2 linked regions of the Danio rerio genome follow. Each later gene encodes a partner of the first gene's protein in a complex. Links are inferred from orthologs where the notes say so. Each region holds a gene or a part of one and is shown in the gene's direction. Other genes may lie near its edges.

The links. The genes of interacting proteins can lie anywhere in the genome.
Region 2: snrpf (region 1) and cwc27 share a complex: the UniProt entries of both Homo sapiens proteins name them as parts of the minor spliceosome. The link is inferred for Danio rerio from reciprocal best matches to the Homo sapiens genes SNRPF and CWC27.

Annotation. Positions count from the first base shown.
Region 1 is NC_133182.1:19,363,971-19,368,331, forward strand, and holds the start of snrpf (small nuclear ribonucleoprotein F), read left to right. Parts: upstream 1-1,359; 5' UTR 1,360-1,546; coding exon 1,547-1,549; intron 1,550-2,410; coding exon 2,411-2,536; intron 2,537-4,307; coding exon 4,308-4,361. UniProt on the Homo sapiens protein: Plays a role in pre-mRNA splicing as a core component of the spliceosomal U1, U2, U4 and U5 small nuclear ribonucleoproteins (snRNPs), the building blocks of the spliceosome.
Region 2 is NC_133185.1:12,136,544-12,140,284, forward strand, and holds part of cwc27 (spliceosome-associated protein CWC27 homolog), read left to right. Parts: intron 1-1,735; coding exon of another isoform or gene 1,736-1,738; coding exon 1,739-1,848; intron 1,849-3,722; coding exon 3,723-3,741. UniProt on the Homo sapiens protein: As part of the spliceosome, plays a role in pre-mRNA splicing. Probable inactive PPIase with no peptidyl-prolyl cis-trans isomerase activity. As a component of the minor spliceosome, involved in the splicing of U12-type introns in pre-mRNAs.

The DNA of each region.
Region 1 (4,361 bases):
GATAGATAGTACATACAAAGAAAGAGTACTAAATAAGGCTATCATGATTGTCAAAGATGAGTGACATCCTTTTCCATACACCTTCCAAGTGTTATTATCAGGTCATCACTATTGTGTTGCCAGATAAGTGAGAAATAGGACAAAATCTTAATTTATACCGTAAGCAGTTAAGTTTTTAAATTCCTCCTCCCTCAGTAGCAGTTGATGGCCAGTAGTCTAGATATTTATTTAGAGTAGGGGTACCATGTTTTTCATGATTTATTTATATAAATGGCAAATTTGAAATGTTAGTTGTCTCTGTGAGTGTATACTGCAAATGAAATTACCCTACAGGGACAAATAAATTAACCAACTAGCTAGCTAACTAACTAACCTAACTATATACACCCTCTCTGGGGAAGAAAATATTGTCCATCACTATCCACCACTGTACATGACATTTCAAACATGACCTCTTTTGAATAGATGGTAATGAAATGCAAAAACCTACTGGGCAAGTCTTCGGTTAAATGATTGATGTGGGATATTTGCATTTTTTTTTATTTATATAATTGAGGGTCAATAGTTTTGCAAAGCTAAATTACTGTACAAATCAAAGAGAAATTAGATGTGTTGTGCTTTCAAATACAAATCTAAAAGACTGTAAATGATTGCAAGTTTCCGTTCTCGTTGAATGAAATGATAAAATGATCCACTGCTGCTGTTTTGGGAGTTGTTAAAAATGGTACAAAATAAATATATAAAATAATTTATACATATTAATTTTTTTAAAGGGATAGTGATGAAATGAAATTATGTTCTCATTTACTTACCCTTCACTTGTTTATTTCTTCTGCTGAACACCAAAGAAGATGTTTGGAAACTGGTAACCATTTCTATAATATGATGAAAAACAAATACAATAGAAGCCAATAGTTACCGGTGTCCAACATTTTCGAAACAACAATACCAGTTTTAACATACTTCCAAATATCTTATTTTTGTTTTCAAATGAAAAAAAAGAATCTCATTAAGGTTAGAAACCCCTCAAGGGTGACTATATAGACAATTTTGAGGAATCTAAACAAAAGACAATGGTCCTTACGTATTTCCTGTTTTACATTTTAAATTTCTATAGCTTCCGAGAATCTAAAAAGAGCCACATATTGATAAATAATGTTATAAGAACTGTTTTAACATTAAGTTATGGTTGAATTGCCTCTTGATACAGCTGTGAAACAGTTTTATAACAAGCAGGAAATGTTTATGGGCCAACGACATCATCAAACGGAAATAGTTTATAGTAAGTACATTTTTATTTTTGGATAAACTATTTCTTTAATTTCAGACCTCCACTCCAGCTCAACTGAGGATTCACGGCTCTATTCCCCGCCTGTCCAGCGAGTGGCGCAGCGGGCAGATCCGCTCTTCTCTCCTGCCGTGCGGTCAAAGTGCGCTCGTAGTCCTTCCCTCTTTCGGCGGCAAGGCGTGCGAGTGTGCTGCATTAGCTTATACTATTCAAATAAACAATTTTTGTGTCTGAAAATACTACTTAAGTAATCCAGTCATGGTAAGTTCATCGTTATCTCTTTTATTTGTATCCAAACCTTCAGTTTGGCGAAAGAGCGTAGACGTTTTCATTCATAAATACGCTGATAATGCGGCTAGGTGTTAGCATCAGGAACGCAGACTGGACGTTGTTTTCAGTCATTTTCAGTGTTGTGTTAGAAATGTTGAGCTTTGCTGATAAATGTTCCTCCTTGTTCTCTTACAACCTAGTCGGTGACTCCCAAAATGCGATTAAATGATATATGTGTGGGAAAACTAAAGATAAAAACTAACGTTAAAGGAGTTTTTTCTGCTATTACTGATGCTTATTTGCAGCTAATTCTGGTGGAAACCAAAAACAATTAATGCTGTAAATTATTATATTGTTTTATTGAAGTTATACAATATATATATATATATATATATATATATATATATATTGTGTGTATGCATGCGTGTTTTGATTTTTTATACCACAAACTACAGTAATGAGAATTTGTCATTACAATTTAAAATGAAGTCATATCAATTGTATCTGTTTTTGTTTTGTTTTTATTATTTGTTTATTTTGCTTGTGTAAATTCATGCGGCTAGTGTCAAAACTTTTTACTAAAAGTTATAACAAGCTGATGAAGAAAAAAAACTAAAACCCAAAATGTAAATCTTTTTTTTTTTCTATTTGGTCAAATATGACTGAGCATCACCGGAGGCTATGCTAAAGTTTCTTCTAAGCTTTTCACTCACTTGAGAATAAAATCATCAACATTTGTAGTATTTTACTTCTTCAGGAACAATATTATGTTGACATGGAATTGTTTGAAAATGACACTTAGGGATTGATTTCGAATGATGTTAATTGTGTAACACTGATCTTTTCCCTCAGAGTTTGCCGCTGAACCCAAAGCCCTTTCTGAATGGTCTGACAGGAAAGCCTGTGATGGTGAAGCTGAAGTGGGGCATGGAGTACAAGGGCTACCTGGTGTCAGTGGATGGGTACATGAACATGCAGGTATGTTTAAAAGAGTTAACGATTCTATGAAAATCCAGCTCCTTAGTAGGAAGAAAATTTAAACTATTCTTTTTAACTCGAGACATACCGTTGTATATGCCATTATGGAGATGCTAGACACACACAGACATCTGCTTAAAGCAGAAGGTGGCCAAAAATGTAAATATTGTAATGGCAACCTAGCTGTCAAGCATATACACTTCATATGAAAACCTCAATATTTAGCAATTCTGAGTGTGCCTTACACAAGTGAGTGGGCTTTATAAACACTCCTTGACACACTTGCACTAGTTTTGTCTATTTGTACCAGACCCTCTCTTTCAACCACTTCATAGCTCTATAAAACATTGTGCATTTCTGAGATTGGTTCACACAGGTGAGTGGGCTTGACAAACCACCTGTAGAAATGCTAATCTCTCTAAATGCAAGTTTTTCTAGATCTCTTACAAGGACTTAATAAAAAAAAAAAAACAATGTTTACCTGTGACTGTACCACAAATTGTTTAACTGGTCATTTCCTTCAACCTTAAATGATCTCTTTTGCACAATATTGTTCTGTCTTATATAAAAGTACTTGTATAGTCTGTCTAAGGTTATGCGTAAAGTTTTTTTTTTTTTTTACTATTTATAGACCGTTTCAATGTGGTGATGCCATTGGCCCATGAATATTTCCTGCTTGTTGTCAATTCATATCTGTAACAAGAGGCGATTCATTCATAACTTATATAACAGCTATTATAACAGCTATTGTAACTATCAATATGTGGGACTTTTTGGACTCTCAGAAGCTACTGAAAATACAGTAGGACCATTGTTATTGTTTACATCCCTCAAAAAGGTCTTTAGTACATGTATAGTTAATTACTGCTCTGCTATGTAGTTATGTATAGGTTTAAAATCGCTCTTATGTCTATAAGGGTTGTTTATATTTATGATAGTTTATTTATGTTGCACTGTGGTCCTGCAAGACATTTCACTGTGTGTCCACAGATGTAGCGGAATGACAATAAAACTCAACTCGAGTTGATACTTTTGCAATGCCCTGTTTAAAATGTTTTAGATAACCATTTTTATCTGGAGAGTTCTTAAAGCAGGGATGTCAAACTTTGTTCCTGGAGGGCCGCAGTCTTGCATAGTTTAGTTGCAACCCTGCTTCCCCACACTACAGTTTGAGCATGTGAAATTCTGCCGTTTGGTGCTGCAAAAAGGGGCGGGATTAAACAAGCTGATTACGATTTGACCATATTTAAAATTTCTGTACAGAGAGGTCGTGTTTTGATCTTCTATTGGTCAGAGTTCACCAAGCTTTAAGTTTCCAACACATCGAACTGCGAAACTTGTGGCACGAGCTTGCGTTTCCTGTCTAAGGCATTTACTTGCTAATAAATGGAAGTCTATAGGGGTGCAGTGTGCCTGCCGCTTTACCTGTAGGTTTCAAACGACTGTAGGACTCAATTAGTTTGATCAGGTGTGGTTAATTAGGGTTGGAATTAAACTGTCCAGAGCTTTTGGTCCTCCAGGAATTGAGTTTGACACCTGTGCCTTAAAGCAACTATTTAAAAAAAAAAAAAAAAAAAGTGAATCTTTCGAAGATGGTAGAATTAAACTATTTTAAGTTTTTATCTAATTTTATTTGTTAATGTTGTTTGTCTTTTTATTGTTACATATATTGTAATGATATTTTGTATATTTCATATACTTTTGTTATAAGACTCGCAAAACTGATATGGCAATAAACCCTAAACTGCCTCTCTCTTTGCGATATTTGTAGTTGGCCAACACAGAAGAGTATGTGGATGGAGCGTTAGCTGGTCATCTTGGTGAG
Region 2 (3,741 bases), on another chromosome or scaffold:
TATATACAAAATTAAAAGACTAAGGCCCAATTCCAATTCTACCCCTTAGTGTAGGGCTAAGGGGAAGGGCTAGATACCCATTGAAACTGAGATTTTTTTAAAACCACACTCGAAAGCAAGGGGTAAGATTGTTTCCCAGATACACCAGCCACAACAGCAACGAGGCTGCACTCTAAAGTAAAGAGATGCACAAATGAGGTTTCGTCTTGCCGTTATAATGGATTTTTATAACACACAAGCATATATTTTAATATTTTCATTACCGCATTTGTTTTACCGTCATGCTTTAAAAAAAAAAAACGCTAAAATAAAAACCGCTGTATTTTGCTATCTATAATCCATGTTAATAAATCCTGTATAGTAATCCCACAACATTCTGACACTCAATAACACTTGAATTCCCTGTCAGAAAGTCTATTGGCAGGAAATGACCTTTTTACAGTGTCTGGTATAATGATGATGATGTTTTTGTGTGTTTATTTGCTGGGTGTAAATGCACAGTTCAGTTATGATCTTATTGCCACATTATATTGAACCACATTAAAAAAAATCACGCAACTGAAATAACTACAGCAGTCACGATCGTCAATCTCATATGAAACAAGAGATTAGGATGATGTGTGAAGGGGCTGTAGTGTTGTAGTGCTGTAGTGTTGTCCCATTTCTTAGAGGTAAATTTTGAAACCCTTACCTTTCACACTCTGTTCAAGGGCCAAGGGGAAGGGGTACAAAGGGGTACACAAATAGAATTGGGATTGGGCCTAAGTCTTACCAACTTTTATATAAATATATATATATATATATATATATATATATATATATATATATATATATATATATATATATATATATATATATATATATATATATATAAATAAAATGATATATAAATATTATTATTATAACAATTACAATCATTACCAAATTATAAAGTAGTAGAAAATTTATAACAAAAAATCAGGTACATGCAGTTTGGCATGCTTTTAATTGTATCAATAAATATAAATTAATGCATTTATATTAATAATTTGTTTGGCAAATGATTGTTCATTTCGTTTTTTTTTTTTTTTAATCATTTATCATTTAAAAGTTGTAAGTGCTTTTTTAATATGCATTTTGTGCAGTTATGCAGCAAAATGCTGTCAAACTTGATTTTTATATTATCATGGAGGAAACTCTCCTCTGTCCTTTCTCTCCCTTTTTTTATATCTTGTAGTGTTCACTGTGATTATTTTGAAGGATGGTAGAGCCCCGGTGCTACATAAACACATTTTGATGTGCTTTCCATTTCGCTTGTGTAATCCTTTTAGTATATATGTCTGTATATCACACACGTTTCCTCATCATTTGAATAAAATCCATCTCCTTATAGCGCAGAAAGTCATTTGGACTGCAAAAGTCATAAATTTTGTCCTTTGCACTGATGAGGGTCTTAGGACCTAAATTTTGGCATTGGCCATATGATTATTCTTGGAAGGAAGCGGCCCACAGGAGCTGTCATCTTCATCTAAGTTTATAGCAGTATAAACTTTATGTATTTCATAGTTATGTCCATATGATAGTAATAACTCCTGCTTTGGAATTCAGCTGTATTCTTTTCATGTAAATCCTTTCAAGTTAGTCACACTAGTATATATATAAAATATACAATAATGGATAGATTGATCCCTAAGGAGATATTAATATCTTGTATCTAGGTTGTAATCACTTTTGTGTTTTTTATTTTTGATGACAGTAGGTGACAGTAAGCAGAACAGTGAGGCGGTGACGGAGTATCTAGAGAGCAGGAAGAAGTACGACGACATGAGGAAGCAGAAATTAAAGAAGGGCTCTGGACGAGAAGCTCAGGTGGGTTTTAATTTGGCTTCTGCTTTTATAATTGGAAGATTTTTGTAAGATCTATTTCATGTGAGCTCAAACTAAGTCACAGACTACCACTTATGGGTTTACATTAGCTTTGTTTCCATCCAAGATTGCAAATCAGGCTTATGCGTGAAACTGGAATATCGCATAAAACATTTGTGAATAAAGCATTGTTTCCATCCAATAAGCCGAAGAGAACAATCATCACTTCCTGACAAACTGGTGCCACATAGCAAAAAGATTAATTTAATTTGCTGGTTAGGAGAAGCCACTTAGGGCCTTTTTCTTATATAATAAGAAGGTAAAGATTGTTTTAGGATATCTGAGATGCTCTTTGGGATTGCTGCTGCTCAACACAGTTCTGGAGGTAATACTGAGCCACTTTGCTGATAAACTTTGGACTTTAGAATGACCAAAACAATATTTCCGATATTTCAAAATGTGATAATTTTTCAGGTTTGTAAATTAATGTCATCCCACGACACCCATTTTTGTTATTATTGATCTGTTAAAACAAAATTACTTGACTTTTTGGCCACACTTTATTTTGATGGTCCGTTTGTTGAATTTAAGTTACATTGCATCTATAGCCAACTAATTCTCATTAGATTGTAAGTAGACTGACTGGTGGGTTGAGGTTATGGTTAGTGTAAGTTGACATGTACTTGAAAAGTTCCTTATAGTTAGTTAAATGTCTGTTGAAGGACTGGTTAATGTCAGTAACAACAGATATTAAGCAAACTTTCTACTAATGCTCAAATGCATGTTAAAATAAAGTGTTATCGACTTCCACTTTCCATCATCAAATAAAAAGTATTCATTGACCTTGACCTTGTACCATATGGGAATAACATAAAATGTTAGAAGATTGGAACAGATGGGGAAATCTACCCATGTCAAACGATGTCCTAAGCATTTGACACAAATCAAGATAATGTAACAGACACCTTTTTATAGATGCACAATTGCAGTAGCTGTGTTGTAATGACAGCCCTTTAATGACTATAGGTTTTAATTTGCTTTTCACAAGACTGTGCTGTTTGCATTTTCTGACAGGTTTTCACTGAGCCACAATTTCCCAATGATCAATTTATGCACTGCTTGAGGAAATAATGAATAATTTCTGAAAAACTGACAATCAAATGTAGATTTCAGATAAAATAAGAAAAGAAAAAATATCAAATGGTAATTTCGCTCAATTTTCCAAACGGATAAACAGCTCTCGTAAAAATTTTACCATGCTTTCACTTTCATATTTGACTCGAAACACAGATATTCTGGTAAGAATGATGAAGTCCTGCCCTACTCATAATTCTCATTCATATAGCAGCATATATGGCTATTATATATCCATAATACACTGTGATATTGCCTGGTTTGTCATTGCCTGGATTGTATTGCTTTCTCACTACATTCAATACACTTCAGAGTTTGTTTCAATCAAGCCGAGACCACCTCATTCAGGCGATTTTGGACTGATTGTTTTGGAGCGAATCAGAGCGCGATTGCACTGTTCACATACAGTATGCCAAATGAACCAAGCTAACTGAGCAAATACGTCAGATTCTGAAACAAACGTCTTGGTGTAAAAGCACCCTAATTTTGCAGTCAATGGTCATGTCTAAATGGGTATGATAAAACCAGGAAAGTAAAAATATGGTAAACACTACCCAGACTTACATGTACATCATTTCTAAAAAGGTTTATTTACTACATGTTGGTCACTCAAAATGCACAGAAAATGTTTTACAAAAGCAAATCAAGTGAAACAGATGACAGTTATATAAAAAATGTTATTAAAGCATACAGTCTGCAAAGACCTAAATGAAAATAACAGACTCTTTCTCTTTTCTCTTCAGACACTTGCCCTTCTAGAAA